Tamandua tetradactyla: one gene and its partner. The protein of the gene in region 2 purifies or fractionates together with the protein of the main gene of each other region. This does not show direct contact. Links are inferred from orthologs where the notes say so. Each region holds a gene or a part of one and is shown on either strand. Other genes may lie near its edges. The genes, in order: PFDN5 and PFDN4.

The links.
Region 1: the proteins of PFDN4 (region 2) and PFDN5 purify together in Homo sapiens (affinity purification with mass spectrometry; 5 studies listed by BioGRID and IntAct, counting the BioPlex papers as one, with this or other methods). This does not show direct contact. The link is inferred for Tamandua tetradactyla from reciprocal best matches to the Homo sapiens genes PFDN4 and PFDN5.

Annotation. Positions count from the first base shown.
Region 1 is NC_135333.1:114,655,250-114,664,826, reverse strand, and holds PFDN5 (prefoldin subunit 5), read right to left. Parts: upstream 4,476-9,577; 5' UTR 4,416-4,475; coding exon 4,344-4,415; intron 4,146-4,343; coding exon 4,043-4,145; intron 3,740-4,042; coding exon 3,708-3,739; intron 2,667-3,707; coding exon 2,592-2,666; intron 2,474-2,591; coding exon 2,368-2,473; intron 1,672-2,367; coding exon 1,595-1,671; 3' UTR 1,469-1,594; downstream 1-1,468. Other genes in the region: MYG1 exonuclease, read right to left, coding at 683-795, 979-1,194; ESPL1 (separin), read right to left, coding at 5,658-5,859, 6,157-6,321, 6,489-6,572, 6,745-6,860, 7,030-7,134, 7,261-7,431, 7,552-7,707, 8,191-8,313 and 3 more. UniProt on the Homo sapiens protein: Binds specifically to cytosolic chaperonin (c-CPN) and transfers target proteins to it. Binds to nascent polypeptide chain and promotes folding in an environment in which there are many competing pathways for nonnative proteins.
Region 2 is NC_135327.1:31,401,317-31,410,893, reverse strand, and holds the start of PFDN4 (prefoldin subunit 4), read left to right. Parts: upstream 1-4,248; 5' UTR 4,249-4,490; coding exon 4,491-4,514; intron 4,515-9,577. UniProt on the Homo sapiens protein: Binds specifically to cytosolic chaperonin (c-CPN) and transfers target proteins to it. Binds to nascent polypeptide chain and promotes folding in an environment in which there are many competing pathways for nonnative proteins.

The DNA of each region.
Region 1 (9,577 bases), on a different chromosome or scaffold from region 2:
GGAAGTAATAGATTGGAAGAAGGGCAGAGGACTAATCTCCAAAACAAGGGACCACTTTTTCCTGAAAAGGATTGAGAGAGTTCAGGGTATTCAGGGGTGGGAAACTGAGGAAGTTCATGCAGGAAAAGTTCACTTTTCTTTGAGGAGTAGAAGTCAGGGACAATCACTGAGGGGGTTTAATGAGGTAGAGAGCTTGAAGAGAAGGAAGGGGGACTGGAATGGTACTATGAACACACTTGGACAAGAAAAATTTCTCAGTGGAAGAGTCTGAATGAGGTAGATTATGCCTATTTAAACTGCCAACGATCACTACAATCATGTGGGCCCAGCAGCCCCATGTGTGGCAGCAAGAGCAGATGAATGGATTAATCCCAGAAAGGGCATTAGTTAGGGTGATAACGGTGCTGGCAGGAAAAGAGTCTGAGCTGAAGAAGGTGAGTCAGGATTGACTGGGGGCCAAGGGAAGCATGGGTAGAGGTCAGGGGTGAGAAAGGTCTAAGGGCAAAAAGGTGGGTGAATGGCAGACAGAAATTGGAAGGATGGGAGGATGTACTCCCTGCGGGACTCAGGAGTTTGAGTTCAACGAAGGCCAATTCCCTTCACTGATACGGACCAAGGTAGACGATAAGGACAGAGGAAGGGTGAAGTAAAGAGGTAAAGGAAATGAGATCTGGGAACTCACCTCTGATGATGGTCATATCGGTGTCTCTGAGGGTCGTACTCACCGCCGACGTCCACCACGATGTCACACGAAGCCAATATCTTGGCGTCCCGAGTCCGCACGATCTCTGCATCCTACGGAATACATGGGAGGTGAGCAGGCAGGGAATTAATATATTACAGGGGAGCCAGAGCGGGTGGGAGGGGTGCTACCAGAGGGATCCAGTTAGAACGGGCTGGAACACGTAGAGTTAAAGAGAACGCAGTCCATCCCGGAAGCACGCGGGTAGGTGCAGGGCTAATTTTCACGGACCATACCCGGTACTCGGGAAGGAGGCGAAGCAGCGCGCACGCTAGTGCCTCGTCGCAATGGAAGGTGCCGTTATGCGTCCCGATTCGGGGCGGTGCCATGAGGTCGCCGCGGGGTCGTTTGGGGGCCGGGACAGACGCCAGGCTCCTTATGCAGAGTCGAGCCTGGAAAGGGGACAGCCACGAAAGTGACTGGCGGAGATGGCACAGGAAGCTATGACCCATATGGCTCCCGCGGCGGGGAGGCGGAACTTCAACCCGGAAAGGGAAGAGCCCGCTTGGCCCCACTTCCGCTTGCCGGCCGTCCCCATGGCAACAGAGCCCTCACAGGACTACATTGCTAAGCAGGGCAAGATTTCTCAGTTCCTCCTAGGGATCCCGTGTGGGGCCTCCAAAGTGGGAACCGCTTCACAGCTTATCACGCACTGGGCAGGAGCCCACTCTCCCGGACACCTCCAACCCCAACACAGTACCTGATTAATGCAAGAAAAGACCAACACTGTGCCCAAATGACATTTATTAGCATTAAACACAAGGCCCTTATCTTCCCCACACCAAAAAGCCACTCCTACGAAGTCCAGGCCCCTGAAGCAGGGTGCCCTCTAACCCCATTTCTGCAACAAGCTCAGGCCTTGGCAGTAGCCTGTGTTGCTCCCAGGGCTGTGAGCTGCTGAATCTTTTGGCTCATCATCTCCATGACAGCTGGGGAAGAAAAAGGAAGATTCAGACACTGGCCAGTGCTAAAGGAAGGAGAGGACCTAGAGTTAAGAAAAGCAAAGGGAGACAACCAGCTACAGTTTGTTAATACAATTTTTAACCAGTGATAGGGGGACAGACACACTAGGTACAAACTTATAGCCTACAATGTGTCAATGTGCTAAAATGAACAAATTATGGTATTAAATGAGCCAAACTTAACTGCAAGATATAACGTGGAAAAGATTTTTGCGTTTAGAACAGGGGTTCTCAATCCTGGTTGTGTAACTGGGGTGCTTTTAAAAAACACTGATGCCTAAGGAACAAGGTCCCAGAGATTGATTTAGTTGGTGTGGAGCAGGCCCAGGTGATTCTAACATGCAGCTAAGGTAGCAATCACTAGTACTTACTTAGTGCTATGTTTCTTTCCTGTATACTCATTTACATTATCTTATCCCCTACTCCATCTCCATTAAATAAGACCTCTGTAAGAGCGGACATGATTTCCATCCTAGGCACCCAACCCAGAAATCTACAGATAGTACACAAAAGCTAGAGAATAACACACCAAAACACCAAAGGAAGAGAAATAAAGATATGGCTTTAACCCAGTCAAGATTAAACCCTATGGGTTCACACTGCAATCCATGTTCTTAATCATGGAGGTAGAAAGGGACAAAACATGGCCTACGTCAAGCTTACCTTGCTTCATAGCATGCTTCTCCTGCAGAGCTGGCTGGATTTTCTCCATCTGCTTGGTGAGGAAGTCTATCTTCCTCTTGAAGAAGTCTTTTGCATCCTCAGCTGTCTGCACAGGTCAGAGGTAAATGAGAGGTAAGAGGAGACACCATATATCACAGCTTAGATCTTCTCCTAAGCTCCCTTTTCTTGCTCACAAGGGCACCCATTTGCTTCTAGAAACTCACCTTCTCTACATAGTAGCCAGTTCCCACATCGATGAGCACATGTTCCACATCATGTAGCTTACCAGGGACGTACATCTGAGAAGCAAGGATTAAGGGAAAAACTATCCCAGTATGAACCACAATTCCAGTAAGTCAGTCTGCTTGGCCTTTGAAGGCACACCTTCTCTAGAAAGCTTCAAGGCAAAGGGACTGAATATAACCTTTTCTGAATAATCAGAAGCCCTTAGAACTATACTTAAAAACTCCAATGGGGAGAGGCAGAGAAAAAGTGGTTCCTTGTGGAGAGAATGTCACATGCTAGCACACTCTCTTGCCCTGACCCCATCTCCCACCCTACAAGCAATTCTCAAATTCTTCCCATTAGCTCTTCCAGAAAGATTAGATACAATGATGTTTTCCTACTTTTCTAGAGTAGTAAAGGTGAAAACCCAGACTCACTTCCCCTTAATACCTCCAACCCTGTACTACCTAGTTCCTAATGAATTTAATGATTATTTAACCTTTCCCTACTGTACTGCTATTCCTTTGTTTCTCTTTTAGCCTGTCAGTTCTCAGACTACCTATTGCCATAAATTGTTCATACAACAAAAACACTTAATAGGTGGACACAATCCAGGCTTCTCAGAGATGGCAATTTAGGAAAAAAAGCCACAATTAAGCTGAAATTGAAGATTAAGAAACAAAGCCAATAGTGGCAGAATTCTTGCCTGCCATGTTGGAGACCTGGGTTCAATTCCTGGTGCCTCTCCATGCGGAAAAAAAAAAAAAGAAAAAGAAAAAGGAACAGAGCCAACCACTGTTTCTATACCCTATTCTTCTACTGCTATGTCGTCTATCCAGATTATTAGCAAAAGTGTAAACTACCAGTTTTGTCCCTATATTAGATTAATATCCTCAAACAGCAAAGGAAAATAATGCAGCTCAACTTTACACACCCCTTGGTAATTTACAAGGCAGTAGCTGGATGGTAGGCAGCCCCAGATTAAAAAAGAGAGCTGGAAGTTTTCAGAATCATGAATGAAAGGGACTCGGAAGTAATCAAAATTACCTCCTCTTTGTGGAGGGGGAAGGGGTGAATGGGAGAGGTCAGGGCAGCAGTTCCTGTGGAAAGGATACAGAACTGGTCAATGGGACAAGTAATTCTTTCCCTGTGAAAGGAATTAAGACAAACACCTGGGGAAGGTTGGCAGCGCCAACATTAAAACGTTACAGGGAACTCCAACATAGTACAGCACCCAGTATGAAAAGGACGAAACAGGGGCAACAGAAACAGAGGAAAGTTCTGTACATTTCAACTCTAGGTATGGAACATGCAAAGGGCTCTTACAATACGCAATGGATTGTTTTCGCGCCTCGGGTAAGGAAAACTGGATGAAGCGGCGGGAAGAGAGGGGAAACTGGCTAACCACACTCCCTATGTTGCGTGTGGCCCTCGCACGCCTACTTCATACCCTCGTTGCTCTTGTTCAGCACGTTCAGACAGTCCTTGGCTTCCACATACTTGGTCTGTACCACCTTGAGCTGGGCAATGGACGTGGACAGGAACTCCACTTCCTGCAGAGAACAGGAAAGATGGTCAACGGGTTGGAGCGTCAGGGGAGTCTGGCCGAAGAGGGGACAGGACCGGGGATGCGGTGGCGGTTTCGCCTTGGAAGGGAGGTTTCCCAAACAGGGGAGGAATGGCGGCGAGGAGTCCGCCTGGGCAGGGGAGCTGTGAGGCGGGAAAAGGGTGTTTCAGGGGTCCGTCGCCACCTGGTCCAGCTGATTCTTGAGCATTTCTAGCTGCGGCAGGCTCAACTCCGTGATGTTAACTGACTGCGCCATATTGAGAAGGAGGGCTAATGAAAGGGAAGTCGGCTCGGCGCTTTACGCTCTAGCCATCCTCTGCGCATCTCGATGGTAGCGCCAGGAGGCCTCGCTGCGCCGGATATCTCTATGTTCCTCCGTCCCAGGAAGGAGGGGCTGGAAATTCCCGAGATTCGCCTTTGATTCGAGAAGGTAAGAGCGCATCCCTTTCACAAAGCATCCCAAGCATAGCACAGTAAAGTTGTAGCAAGCAAGATTTCTGCCGTCTGTCCTCAAGGAACTTAAAAATCTTAAAGATAAGACAAGTACCCGGGACATTACCACAAGCAGCGTAAGCTGCTCCATGTGAGTGGTAAAAATCCACGTGAGTGGCAACTGAGAGGCCAGGAGGAAGCCTGTGAAGTTCTGTGGGAGGGGGCATAGCACTGTGAAAACGGTCCTTTGGTCAAATGAAGATGAAGAGTGTCCAGAGGTGGAGAGAACAGTAAGAAGGTACCATTACAACTAACAAGTTCAGCACAAAATGTATTTACCATATACTAGATGTGAGGAATACACTAGCGTAAGATATAATTTGTACTTCACAGGAGCTTACAATCTAGTTGAGAAGACAAATGAATAAATAAATAAATAAAATACACAGGGAGCAGAATCCCACAGAATTTGCTGCTTAAGTCCATGGCACTGACAAGTGTGTAGCAGCTGTACGTGAAAGAGGAACAGCAGCCACTGACATCTACTTGGAAGGGGGGCAAGATAACAGAGGCACCAAGCTAGTGTCACACCCAGGATACCTGAGGAGAAAGACAAGACAGACGTGATGGCACTTGGCCAAGTTGCTCACAATGGGTCCCTACTTTTCCCTGGGCCTCTGTTCCCACTAAGAGCATTTTATTACCCCTCTCTCCTTCAGCTTTGTCTGCTGAGACCCAGCCAGGCCCAGCTCTGTCCTGTGGTTTTGCCTTTTATCCCCAGTGCTCTCAGATTTGAACTCCTGAAAGCTGTTCCCATGCACTTACAGTACCATATGGTGGGGGCCGGGGGGGATTAGTGGGGAGGAAGCAGGAAGTCCACAAATGTTATCAAATGAGCTACACAAACAGTATTTAGGTGACATATCTTTATTAAGGTTAAGTTAAAAGGAAATATTTCATATAAAACACTGAAATCACTTAAAAATATTTATTCTAAGGATAAAATCTAAGTTGGGGGGTAACAGAGTCACTTGGCTTCTACCAGATATACAATAGCTCCAAGGGGTCACCGCAGGGAGACAGGTAAGCCATAGGCCACGGGAGCAGCTCCAATAAGATACTTAAGACGGGGAGCCTGGCGGGCCTGGTTGACATAGTAGAGGAGGGGGGCCCCTGGGCCTGCTCCAAGCCAGCCTTGCAGCAGAGCCTCTGTATAGCGGTCAATGTCACGGTCAGTCACATCCCAGAGGTTACCCAGAAACAAAGGACTGGGAAGAGAGAAGGAAGAAATACAAAATAATAAGGGATCTCAAACAAATACACAGTAAACATTGCTGGGAGGTGGGAGGAGGAGAGGATCCAGCCAAGGAGGGACTCCCTCGTCCCACAGTGCCAAGAGGAGGTTAGAAGAGGCAAAGCATTAAAGGGCTCAACCAGGCATGCCAGGAAACTAGGATGGGAGGAAAGTGAGTCACAAGAGAGATTCAGAGTTCAGATTTCGGAAAGAACTTGGGGTTAGGAGCAGGAGCTTTAATGCTTTAGGATGCACCTGACCCAAGACTCACCAGCCGGCCATGATGTACTTGAGTACGATGCCAGCTCCCTCCAGGTTTCCATGCACAGCCAGGGCTGCACTGCTGCAGCCAAACAGCAGGGCCACTGCCCGGCAGCTCAGCCGCAGGACAGCCTGTCCATCTAGGAAGCGGGCACCAGCCCCATGGCCTGCATAGCTAGGGCAGAAACAGGTGAGGTCAGCCTCAAACTAGCAGTAGCAGGTCTCTGTCCATGTCTCCAGAAATATCCTGAGTCAGCCAGAGGCTTTAAAGCTCCAAAGCAGACCATGATGTTCCATCCTCTGAGACTACCCCTTTCCCCGCTCCCTGGTGTAAGCACTCACATGTATAAGTCATGCTCAGTCAGGGCCGCCTGCACCTGTTCCGGGCTTGGGACCTCCCCCACCACCCCTCTCCAGCCGGCTTCACTGTGGGGAGAAGGTAGGAGTGAGAATAGGGAACTGCATGGCAGGGGTCATGTGGCAAAGAGGGGAGAGGGAACATTAGGTAGAAGGTGGAGACAAGGACATGTTGCCCCTACAAGTTGTTTCTACCCTTCCCCACCCGTCTTCTTGCCCTCACCCCTGCCCCTTCCCTGACCTGCTAAAATTGGCTCGAAATTGCTGTTCTGTGCTTGACAGGTTATTGTGAGGGTTCAGGACGTAGAACGTGTTGCGTGGATCCACCCCTTGGCTGAGCACGGATGAGGCCCCAGACTGAAGAGTAGATAATGTTGATCAGGACCCTGGTCTGACCAGGAGGCCCAAGCTCCAACAGCCCCTCTCCACATCCAACCCACTCCTAAGACCCTCTCCCATCTCTCCAGGTCTCTGCCTCTCTCTTCCTTCAGCTCTCTCGAGTTGAAGGAAGGCCCCCAAGCCCCACCTCTTTGATAACAGAGTAGCTGAGCAGAAAGCGCAAGGAGGGCAGCCGGGTGACAGGCAGTGCCCGGAGGGTGGGCATGCTTTCCCATGGCAGCTTCTGCAGGTCCTACACAAAAGGCAATCAGATGTTACTGTCCTTAACCAGGTATGGACAGGAGGAAAAATAAGTGTGGGAGTAGGTTGGTGCCCACTGCCCATCAGGCACAGCCCTCTGACCCTCCTAGCTCCTTACCTTGTCCAGCACCAAGACAAGGTGCTTCTTGTTTGGCACTGTCTGACCTTGAAGACGTCCTATCGCTTCAATCAGAAGTTCTTGGGCTCGCTTGGGGTGGGCTGGGCACAGCCCATAGGCCAGGGCCTGAATTTCCTGAGGGCTGAGGGTACTGGCACCACTGAGCATGACCTGCAGGGGAACACAGGTTCATGGGTGCCGTAAACCCTAGCCCCAGTCAAAATGGCTATTGGGCTTGTGGAGAAGAATGAAGTTTACTGCTTCTACCCCTTCCCTGCTTTTCTAACTCACTTTTAGCAGGGTAGGGTCAGGATATTTCCAGCCACATTCCTGCAGCAACCCCTGTAAGCAGGAGGCCTCACAGGCAGGGCCAGGGTCCTCACTGGATGGCAGCAACAGCCCTCTCCAGCAGCCCAACACATCCTTCTCTAGGGAAGTGATGAGAACCTGAGTACAGGAGAAGAGAGAGGAAGGAAGACAAGTTTCTTTCTGGAAATGAGGAAATAGGTTTTCCACCATGGATATTTGTTCTATACTTCTTTCTGCCAGTTGAAAAGGCAAGAAGCTAGAAACATTTTTCATTTGGTGGGCCTGTGGGAGGCTACAGATAAGACTGTTTATTATAGACAATCTTTTTTTTTTTTTGACAAATTTGTGAACACGTGAGCCAGGAGAGCTGCTGCCAGGCAGCTGATACTTAGGCTTACAGCCTTCATCTTCTGTGTGTCTTTAAACATTCCATTGCCATAAGTTCTTCAAGTTCTGGCCTCTTGATTAAAGTCATGCAATTTTTAAATTCATGCTTTATACTTTCAGAAAGGACTCACAGTAGCTCAGCACTGACTTGGGACCCCTGGCAGAGAAGACATTAGCATCCCCTGGGTCATTCCTAGGGCAGGTGTGACCTCAGCTTGTCCTAGGAACACAAACCTCCATCCTGTGGTCCAGTTCCAGCCGCCCTGTCCACCATTCTCGCTTGTCAGTACAGCTGCTGTTCTCTTTCTGTGCCTTCTGGATGGCATCAAACTCATTCAGGGCTGAACTCAAAGGAAGCTTTGGGACATGGGGTTGTAAGATCTCTGCTGGTCACATAAATGCCATCTCTCCATCCCCCAGCCACAGAATGTGAGCAGCTTAACCAGAAGCCCCCCACAGCCCTACTTTGCACCCTGGTCCTGGAAACCTACCTTGTTTTGGGCAGTGGGGATCTGCACAGTGACTGGAGAATTATCTTTTTCCAGCCGGGTCAGCAGGAGGGTGTTCCCCACAGTTCCAGGCTGGAGGGTGGCCAAGGCCAGCACACAGACAATCACCCCTGACACGGAGAACATACTCAGAAACATTTCAGCTGTTACTAGGCATTCCCTTTCCTATTTTCTGCATTTAATCCCAATCCATCACTCAAGACAACTCAAAATAAATCTTCAAGAAGCCATCCCTGGTTATTTGGGTTCAGGTACTCTCTCCCTTGCCCTAACTGCTCACTGTGACCAGGGACCATGTCTTGTACTTCTTAGAGTCTCTCACGGCTGCTAACAAAAAGGGCCATGCACAGTGAGATACTCAAATAATCTGTAATACATTTCACTTTTAGAGCAGGAAGACCCCAGACACCAGAATTCACTTCTGAAGAAAGACACTTGAATTTGCCAGAAACTCAAAGTGGAGGTTAAATGAAAAAGGATTACCATGGGGTTAAATGCTTAATGGGTATGGTGCTGAGGTCTGGGGTGAGGGAGAAGTTTTAGTAATGGATGGTGGTGATGGTAGCAAAACATTGTAAATAGAACTAACACCACTGAATTCTGAGTTGTATACCTGAAAGTGGTTAAAATGGGTAACATTATGTGGCATATGTTACCACAATAAAAATTAAAAAAAAAAGATCTGGCATGCCTTTCCATAAGGATCATGTAAAGTAACTAATGCCTTAAACTCCTTCATTTAACTTCTCAATAAGGAGATGTATAAGAAGACAGATGAGCCAACCAGAAGCCTGCCACCATACCACTGGGAATCAGAGACAGGCGCTCCTGGAAACTCTCCTTCTCAGGCTGGGGGAATGGGCCAGATCCCAAAGCCCTGAAGGAAAAGAGGTGCTGGATACGGGCCAGAGGGACATCTCCAGGCCTCTCCTGAAGGCTCAGCCTCTGCAACTGGTCTGCCATTTCAAGTGATCTTCGGTGCTTCTGGGCTCTACTACAGGCAGTACAGGTAGACGTGAGTTTCTCCTTCCTTTGAAGTCTGGACCCTCCCTCCAGCCTGTCCTCAGCATGAATACTGGGGAGCACTCACGTGAGCTGCCTGTGCAGGTGGG
Region 2 (9,577 bases):
AGTTTAGGGCTTCAACATAGCTTTTGTGGAGACTATGATTCAACCCATAACAGGGCCTGACAGGTATGCAGTGGATGGGGCAGGTGCTCTGAGGGCATGTGCGTGCGCTCTGTGCCCTCCAGAGGACCTGCTCGCTCATGGGCCTTGGCCGGTTAGCTCCAGCAGCCGCTGTCATGCAGGAATGCAGTGTGACCAGGACTTGACTTGACAAGCTCTAGCAAAACTAAATATCTGGATATTGTTGGCTTGTGAATGCACCATCATGCATCAAAAATGGAAACCTCTTAATTTTTGCCTGTTGGTTCAATAAATGAAACACTTTATGAGTCAAGGAAGCCATATATCTGGGATCCAGCCCATAAGCAGCCAAATTTCAACCTGACCTAAAGTCATCTCTTCATTCACCCTCTGTTGAGATAGTATTTTCAAGTGGTCATTGGTGACCTTCTTCCCTAGCAGTCCCCAAATGTTTCCACTTATACCCCAGGATTCTTTCTTTCATTGGCCCAAACAGCTAAGGACAGTGTGCAATTGGACAAAGAAAGAAAAGCAAAGGTTAGGGATACTCAATATTAAGGAAATGAAAGGATGCTAAACAGAAGACTTGAAAGTCCCTGATGTGCACTTGCAGAACTGGTTTTCTTGCTAGGAAAGAGGTTTTTCAAAGGATACCAAGGGCTGGGGAAAGGAGATGGACAGGAGTGTAAAAAAAAAAAAAACAGAGTGGATTTGAAGTACCAGTAAAGCTGGGGTCTTTACAGAGAGCCAATTCAGTACCAAGGCTGCTACAGGTCTGCTCCTGTCCCTCTGTCCAGATTTCATAATCCTCCCCTTCTGCCCAGCCCCTGCTGGACCCTCCCTTTGTGAACCACCCTAGAGGATGACTAGGAACTCCTGGACAGAAGACACTGTTGGCTGCTGACCCAGCCGCTGTTACCTCATTCTTCCTTGTTTGCAGGATCCCAGGTGTCTTTAGTTTAGGCAGCCATAGTTCCATCCTCAAGGAATCAATCATATATATATATTTTTTTCTTTTCTTTTTTCATGGGCAGGCGCTGGGAATAGAACCCGGGTCTCCAGCATAGCAGGTGAGAACTCTGCCACTGAGCCACTGGGGCCTGCCCACAATCATAACTTTTTGAAGGTAATCACTAATGGACTGCTTTTGCTAGGAATTGATCTAGACGTGGGCATGTGATACAGTTCTGACCAGTAAGACAGGCATAACAGCAAGGGGCAATCTGGGAAATATTTTCCTCCTTGAAGGAGAGAGAAAGAAGGAACGAATAAAAGAACCCGGGATTGCTATGTAGAGCTGGAGAGAATGAGAGGAGTATACCCCAGAGCATAGCAGTGAGGTAAGTCTCTCCCCTTTCCTCTCTGCCTTTGCATACCCCTGGTGAGGACATGATGCTTGTAGAATCAACAACCATCTTGTGATGATGAAGGGAAGGCCAAAGACTTAGAATATTCCTTCTCGATGCAAAGTCTTTTTGAGCTGCTGATCCAATCCAGCCATTGCCTCTTTCCATATTCCTTGTTATATGAGAAACAGTGGCCCTTATTGTGTAAATCACGCTCAGGTAGGTCTTCTGTACTTGGAGCCAAAGGTTTCCTCTGAATCAACCTCTTCCCTTGATGAATCAGAAACAGGGGACGTGGACACTGGAGGCTTCCCAGGGCAAGTCTAACAGCAGCTGGGCCGCTCATTTTAAACACCTGGGAATAATCTATTCCGATTACACTTCAGTCATCCTTCAGATGCCAGAAGCTGCTTTTCCAGAACAAACTGCTTTTCCAGAAGCAGCTTCTTCTATCAGAAGTCCTCTTCTATCAGAAGACTCTTGTGTGTCACTTTCAATATTCTTGGTTTTACCTGTCCTTGGTCACACCTGCTTTTGGCCTCGTGTTACATCCCAGCAGCCCCTACAGTGGCCAGCTCTGCATTGACAAGGTCAGCTTCAGGTGGGTGGGACCTCACCATACTCCTCCCTCTGCCTGGGCTTCTGACCTAGGCCTCTCACCTGCTCCCTCCCACCCTGGGGTTTCCTAGCTGCTGTGAGCCTCGTGGGTGGGGAGAGAGGCACCCTCAAAAAGTGTTTTGAGAGGTCATAACTTGGGCAGAGGAATTTTGCTGGCAAATGAGCAGTAGGGAGTTACTATTATTTCCCCCCATGAAAGTAACTTGCCCAGCATTGGACACTGGGGTGGGTGTGGGGCAGGCGTGGTTTGATCTCCAGCACTAGGCAGGCTGGCTCTCGAGTGCTTCCTGGTGGGTCTTCGGCACAATGCCTGCTCCTGCCCCAAGTCAGGGGCAAGAGTTCTTAGTCCACCCTGAGTCTGGCTCTCCACAGGATGTGTACTGGAGTGGTAGAGCCTAGTGCTCAGGAGTATGGCCTCTGCCATCAGGCTAGCCAGGGTTTAAACACAGCCTCTGTTATTTCCTGGTGGTTTTCCATCTCCTGACTTGGAAAATGGTCACCAACAGGGGTATTTACCTCAGTATGGTGAGGACGAAAACACTTAGCACGGTACCTGCCTCATAACACGTGTTCATTAGTTTTATATATTACTTTATCATCATCATCATCATCATAAGATAATGTTTAGCCCAGATGAAGGCTTGAGATACCTTCTGGTCATAAAATCTGTGATTCTAGGCTTCTCTCCCTGAGCCTCCCACCTTGTTCCTTTCAACTCAAACAATCAAATTACACTTCCTTGAATTCATACTCTATAGGTCCTCGCCTTTCAGACCTGTCATTTCTTAATACAAGTCATTTGGAAATCTCAGAAAGAACTCTCTCCTCCCCACTCCCCACTTTGTCCTCTCCATGGTCTAAAGAATCCCCATCTCTGAGTCTGGACCTTGCCTTCCACTCACTCTGTGCCACTCTGCCCTTTGCTCCTACATTCTAGCCAAGTTCCTTCCCATCCCACGACTTGTGCTCACGATGCCCCATCTGCCTGAAATCCCCTTTCCCTGTTCTTCCTATGGCTGGCTGCCGCCATCTTTCAGAGTGTAATGGCCACCTCCAGAGTGCCCAGCCCCGACCATTCCCTTCTGTTCTTCTCTGTCTCAGGCCCTCATTTGTCTCCGTCGTGAACTTGCCACCATTTGTAATAAATTTGCACTTTTTCATTGTCCATTTCTGTAGTGCTTTTAGGTGTTAGGTACTATATGTGAGCTATTAAATAAATGGATGTCATTGGTGGAACATCTATGTACCAGCTGCTGTGCAAGGATTTAACCTGAAAAACAAATCCCCTCATTCAGCAAGTATATGTTAAACTGGGCATTGGGAAGACCTAACTGCAAAGGGCTTGGAGTCTGGAGCCGGGAACCTGGCAGGAGGATGAACAATTAGTGTGGGGCTAAATGCTTTTGCAGGGAAGGCAGAAGGTGTGACAAGTCCATTACCCTCATCCAACCAAAGAGGAAATTGGGGCTTCGAGAGAAGAGAAAACCTCCACGGCATTGGCTCTCAAAGTGTGGCCTGAGGACTCCTAGGGATTCCTGAAATCTTTTCAGAAGATTCGTGAAGCCTGCCTTTTCCAACGACATATCTGTGTGAGGCCAGGTTTTCTTCACCTAGTTCAGCTAAACAACATATCGCAAGAGATTGAACACAGAAGCAGATGTTAGATGTTACTGTCTGCCTTCCATTAAGCCAGACATTAAAGAGATTTGCAAAAATGTAAAACAATATCATTCTCAATATGTTTTTTGCTTAGGAAAAGACAGCTATTTTCCATTAAAAATATTAATGTGGCATATTTTTGTTATTTTAACTGAATCAACAAATCCATTTTTTAAAAAGAATGTTTAATTTCTAATTTCTAATATGGTAGATATCGATAAACGTAGGTTATTTGGGTTCAGGGATCCTGAAGCAAACAAAAAATAGAGTTGGGGTCTAGAGGCATAGAACAAGCAACTAGCAAAGTCAAGGCCGTATGCAGAAATTGTTGAAAAACATTGTCGAATTAATTAATTAATTGGAGGGCTTCCTCCGAACACATCTGAATTATCAGTGCATATAAATCTCATAGTCTACTGACAAAGTCATTCGTTTCTAGTGCCTTTCCAAATGGGTCAATTCTCTAAACAAATTTGTTGGAGATGAAGAATACCCCTTTCTCCTCCAAGCCCTGCCCGGCGCTCCCAACCCCGCCCATCACACTTGCGGGGCTGGGCGTCCCCTGCCGGCCGATGCCGGAGTTGCGGCCGCTCGCCACACCTCCCTTGTTTATGTCTAGCCACAGGGAGACTGTCCCTTTAATTGGGATATACCAAGTCCATCCAGGTTGCGATTTCCTTCCTGAATCTCAGACTTCAGAGAAGTCTTTGGTTGAAGATCCCAGAGAAGGAATACGGTGACCGTGTTGTACTTTTTAGGAGTTCTGGGCTGACAGGGAGTGAGAGAGGGCACGGAAGAGGAGTGCACCATCGCGGCCCTCCCCCCCTCACGCCGTAACAGAGTCCCAAGATGGCGGCCACCATGAAGAAGGCGGTGAGTGGGGCGCTCCCGGCGCTGGATGCTCGGGCAGCGGGCGGGTTGCGAGCGTGGGGACTTGATAGGCGGGATGCTAGGGGTGCCCAGCTCTGAGGCGCGGGGAGGGGCTCGGAATTGAGGCTCCCGACCACGAAGGCGGTCTCGCGGCGAGACCTGCCCGCGCTGCCTGTCTCCTCAGGCCCGCCGGTTGCCTCGGGTGGGTGTCCAGACTGGGACTCTTAGGGGGCTCTGGGCCGCCTCCCGCGGTGTAGAGGGTGCCCCCGGAGAGTCGGAGGACGCCGCGGGTCTGTTCTTGCCCTTGGATTTTGGGAAGCCGAAGGTCCATGGTCTGCCTTTGACCCCTGTAGTAAACGCTTTACCTGGATTACCGCAGCTAAGCCTCACAAGCCCATGGGCTAGGTGCTTCTAGTGTTCTGTCTCTCAGGTGCTGAAGCTGAGGTTCAGCGAGTCGGGTAACCTGCCCAAGGTCACGCTGCTTATAAGGGGCAGAACAGGACACACTGTCAGGTTTTCTGGCCCCAGAGCTCGTGTGTCCATCCTTGAGCGGCCCATGTCCATGCTTAATGCACCTGTGCCCTCCGGACTAAAACCAGTATTTATGGAGAAACAGATGAGGTACCAGGGCCCAGTCTTCCGATTATTATCTCTGGTGCCAGCAATCTATCAAGGATACGGGTTTCCCCCAACTTTACAATGGAGAAACTTAGATGCAGAAAGGTTAAGTGACCCCAACCTCTATAAAATGATTTCCTTAATAAGAAGGGGAGCCAGGTTCAAACACAGGTTTTATGGTTTTGTTTTGTTTTGTTTTCCCTCAAAGCCTATCCTTTTTGCTAGTAAGCAAGCTCCCTCCCATTTGGGGTTTGTAATCGAGTAAGTGTACTCAGATGCTTAAAGATCTCTAGGTAAAAGAAAAATAAAATTTAGTGAGAAAATAATACCAGCTGATAATGGAGGCTTTATTCTGTGCTAGGAACAGTTCAAGGTGTGTTATGGTTTATTTATTTTAATATCAAATCTCATGACCCTTTTGGGGATACTGTTTTTTATCCCCATTTTACAGATGAGGAAACTGAAGTACAGAGGCACAGCTAGTATTTAAACACTGGCATTCTTACTCCAGAGCCCACCTTTTAAACTGCCAGGCCGTGAGAATGCTCTGGCTGAGGGGATTTGCTTTCCAGGTTTTATATACATTTGCCCTCATTCCACTTCTAAGACCACATAAGAGGAACTTGCTTTTTTTGCTTTCCTCTCTTCTGTATCATAAAGTCGAAGTTACCTGTGCCTGGTGTAGGATGACCAGCTATCTTGGTTTGCTCAGAAAGGAGGGCTTTCCCGCCACACAGTACTTGGAGTGCTAAAATTGAGAACTTCCTAAACAAACTGAGACAAATTGTTCTCCCTACTGGTTCTGGCATTCACAAACTCTTACTGTGTACCAGAGTAGTGCTTAGGTTCTTGGTGAGTCAAACAAGTGTGAGGCTTTGGTTTTCCACATTGCCACTATTAAATTGGGCCTTCCATTTTTAGGTGTAGCCTTTAATTCCCTGGAAGATAGCTGTGGAAATTGGCAGTGCAGAGAGATGAAATAAATGATAGAAGAATAATTTGAACTCTGAACTTTAATTGCAGAAATTTTCCATCACACCCCACTATGGATTGGATTAAATTAGTGACCACTGACCTTTTTTCCTTTCCTTGATGTAGACAATAAAATTTTTTTGAGCTTTTAATATGGTATAGTCTGTGTTTTAGGTGATGGAGATAACAATGGTTGAGCAATAATGAAGTCCATATCTTCATAGCTTCATAAAACTAAATGCTCTAGGAGGAAATATGGGCATTAATCAAATAGTCGCACAGTAAAATGTAAAATTTCCAGTGTGAGGAAAGGCACTTGTGAAATGAGGGCCAGTATAAGGTCTGAATTGAGGTCAGGGAAGGCTTTCCTGAGGTATCCTTAGGCTGAGATCTATGTGATTAGGGAGAAGGGGAAGGGAAGGTTGGTGAGGGGGTAAGGCATTAATTCAAAGACCCTAAGAACATGTCATAAAAGGAAGGCCAGAATGGCAGAGAAGGGGTGGGCAAAGGGAACCATGGTGGGCAAGGAGCATACAGAGAGAGGGATATGTGGTGGCTAATGCGTAAGGGATTTTCTTCTATATAGTGAGTCTCTGAGACTCACATGACAAATGCAACATCTTCCTGCATGTATTTCAGTGTTATGAATAATCCCTGCTGGGTTAGCTACATGTACAAACACTTTTCCCCTCTGTCCACTGTACGTGTATATTCATATACAGAGGTGTGCCAGTAAGTGAGAGTGAAATATCCTAGCAATAGCCTTTTTTTTGGGGGGGGGGGGGTGGTTACTGCAGGTATTTGTTAAGGCCCTTTATTGCACCAGAAACCATGTGAAGTTCTGGGGGTTTACATAAAAACTAAGCAGCAGTCTTGGCCTTGTTTTTTGTTTTTGTTTTTAATATTTTTATTGTTAAAACAACATAAAAACAAACATTCTTAACATACAAACATTCCATACATGGTGTACAGACAGTGGCTCACAATATCATCACCATGATCATTTTTTTTAGAACATTAAGAAATAAAAAGAAAAAAGAAAAAAACTCATACATACCATACCCCTTACACCTTCCTCTTGTTGACCACTATTATTTCCATCTACCCAATTTATTTTAACCTTTGTTTCCCCTATTATTTGTTTTTTATTTTTTTATCCATCTGTCCATACCCTCGATAAAGGGAGCATCAGACACAAGGTTTTCACAATCATACTGTAACATTGTAAAAGCTATATCATTATACAATCATCTTCAAGAAACAAGACTACTGGAACACAGCTCTACAGTTTCAGGTACTTCCCTTTAACTACTCCAATACACCATAATCTGAAAAAGGATAGCAATATAACGCATAAGAATAACCTCCACAGTAACCTCTCGACTCTGAAATCTTCCAGCCACTGACAATTTATTTTTTCTCATTTCTCTTTCCCCCCTTATGGTCAAGAAGGTTTTCTCAATCCTTTAATGCTAGGTCTCAGCTCATCCCGGGAGTTCTCTCTCATATTGCCAGAAAGATTTACACTTCTGGGAATCATGTCCCATGTAGGGGGGTAGGGCATTGGGTTACTTGCCATGTTGGCTTAGAAAGAGAGGCCACATCTGAGCAATGAAAGAGGTTCTCTGGGGGTGACTCTTAGGCCTCATTTTAAGTAGGCTTAGTCTGTTCTTTTCAGGAATAAGTTTCATAGGGGCGAACCTCAAGATCGAGGGCTTAGCTTATTGATTTAGTTGTCCCCAATGCTTGTGATTCAGTATCTCTGAATTTAGAATTAAAAGTTACACCTCCTGAATACATGTGACTGTTATGATCTAGGACTCTTTTACAATAACCCCCAACCTGATAACCCATGCTCTTGACTTTAGTTCACTGAATTTTTATATTATCGTTAGTCCATATAATTGAGGCATGTGTCTTTTTGTTCCTGACATTTCATTCAACATACAGTAGCAATAGATTTTGGGGGGGGGGGGGCGGGGAGGAGGGCATGGGCAGTCTCTGGGAATTGAACCTGGTCTCTAGCATGGCAGGCAAGAATTGCACCACCCAGCAGTTTACTTATTAAAATTAAAAGCAATAGCCTTTTGGTTTTAATAAGTAAGTTGTGTGCAATCTGGAATCCTTTAGTAATACATTATACCTTACAACTGGTCATGAATTTTGAATCTCTAGATGAGATCCTTCAGTCCTCTCATCTCTAAAGTTCTCCTTTTCAAGATTTTGCTCTGGACCATGAGGGATTTTACACTCTGAATTCTCTTCATTTTCCAGAGTGCAAATGTCTCCTCCTCAGAGAGGCCATCTCTGTCCTCCATGTCTAAAGAAGCACCCCTCTACTCCCCAGCTCCCAGCACTTTCTACCCCTAAACTCTATTTTATTTTCACTAACACATTTATCATTATCTAAAATTATCTTGTTCATCTTGTTTTTTGCCCACATTTCCTGCTAGGATGAAGCTTCCCTCTAGATCATAGTGTCTGGCTGAATAATTGTTGAATGAATAACTATATGCATGAAAGATGAATAATACAGGATAAGGCAAAATTTTATAGAGATTTGCTGAATATCTTTTTTAAAAATTAAAATGAAAGCAGACGGAAATGGCCCAGAATTTCTGTCTCTTAGGTTTTCAGGACAATGAGGGACCCCAGCCATCAATGAAGATTCTTTGTGTGACCCTGATTCAGTATGGGGCATAATTGAATAGAGTTTAGCTTCCTCCTATCATTCCGTAAGGTATTTATTGCCATGAAAATGGTGCAGTGAGTGCCCAGGGAATTTTATTTTCACCGTGAGCAGTCACATTTTCTCTTAGACTTAGCAGAATTTCCTTCTGGGTCTGTATCTGTGTATGTTCTTCCTTTGCAGTGACTTTGGCAAACAATATTCTAGAAATAAATCGCTGAGTTCTCATTTATTGACAGACTCCATCCCCAGGCCCTGTGCCAGCCCTACCAGATAGGACTTGGCCTCCCCATTTTACAGATGACAAACCTAAGGTGGCTTCAAAGAGTCGAGTAATTTGCCTGAGGTGTAATGGCCTGGATTTGAATACATTCTGGCTCTTCCCACAACTTTGTCCTACTTTCAATACTACAATATGACTTCTTCCTCTTTGAGTTCATAGGACTTCAAGAGCAGTAGTAATTAGCAAGAGTCTCGAACCTTTTGGGGTTGATGATCTCAAAGAATCTGATGAAAGCTATAAAGAGTCTTCTGGGAGGCATGCACCTGTTAAATGTTTTGCATACAATTTCCGGGGATGAATGAACTTCTTGACATTCACGGACAACCCCTGCACCCCAGTTAAGAGTTACGACCTCCCTGCCAAAATGCAGCTTCAAGAAATATAGGAGTGTTCTAGGACAGTGAGATGTAAGCAGAAGATACAGCTCTTAGTCCTGGAAGGTACCGATAGTTGCCAACAATGCGTGTTTGACCCTCACATAACGTTAGCCCTACCTCCAGTAGG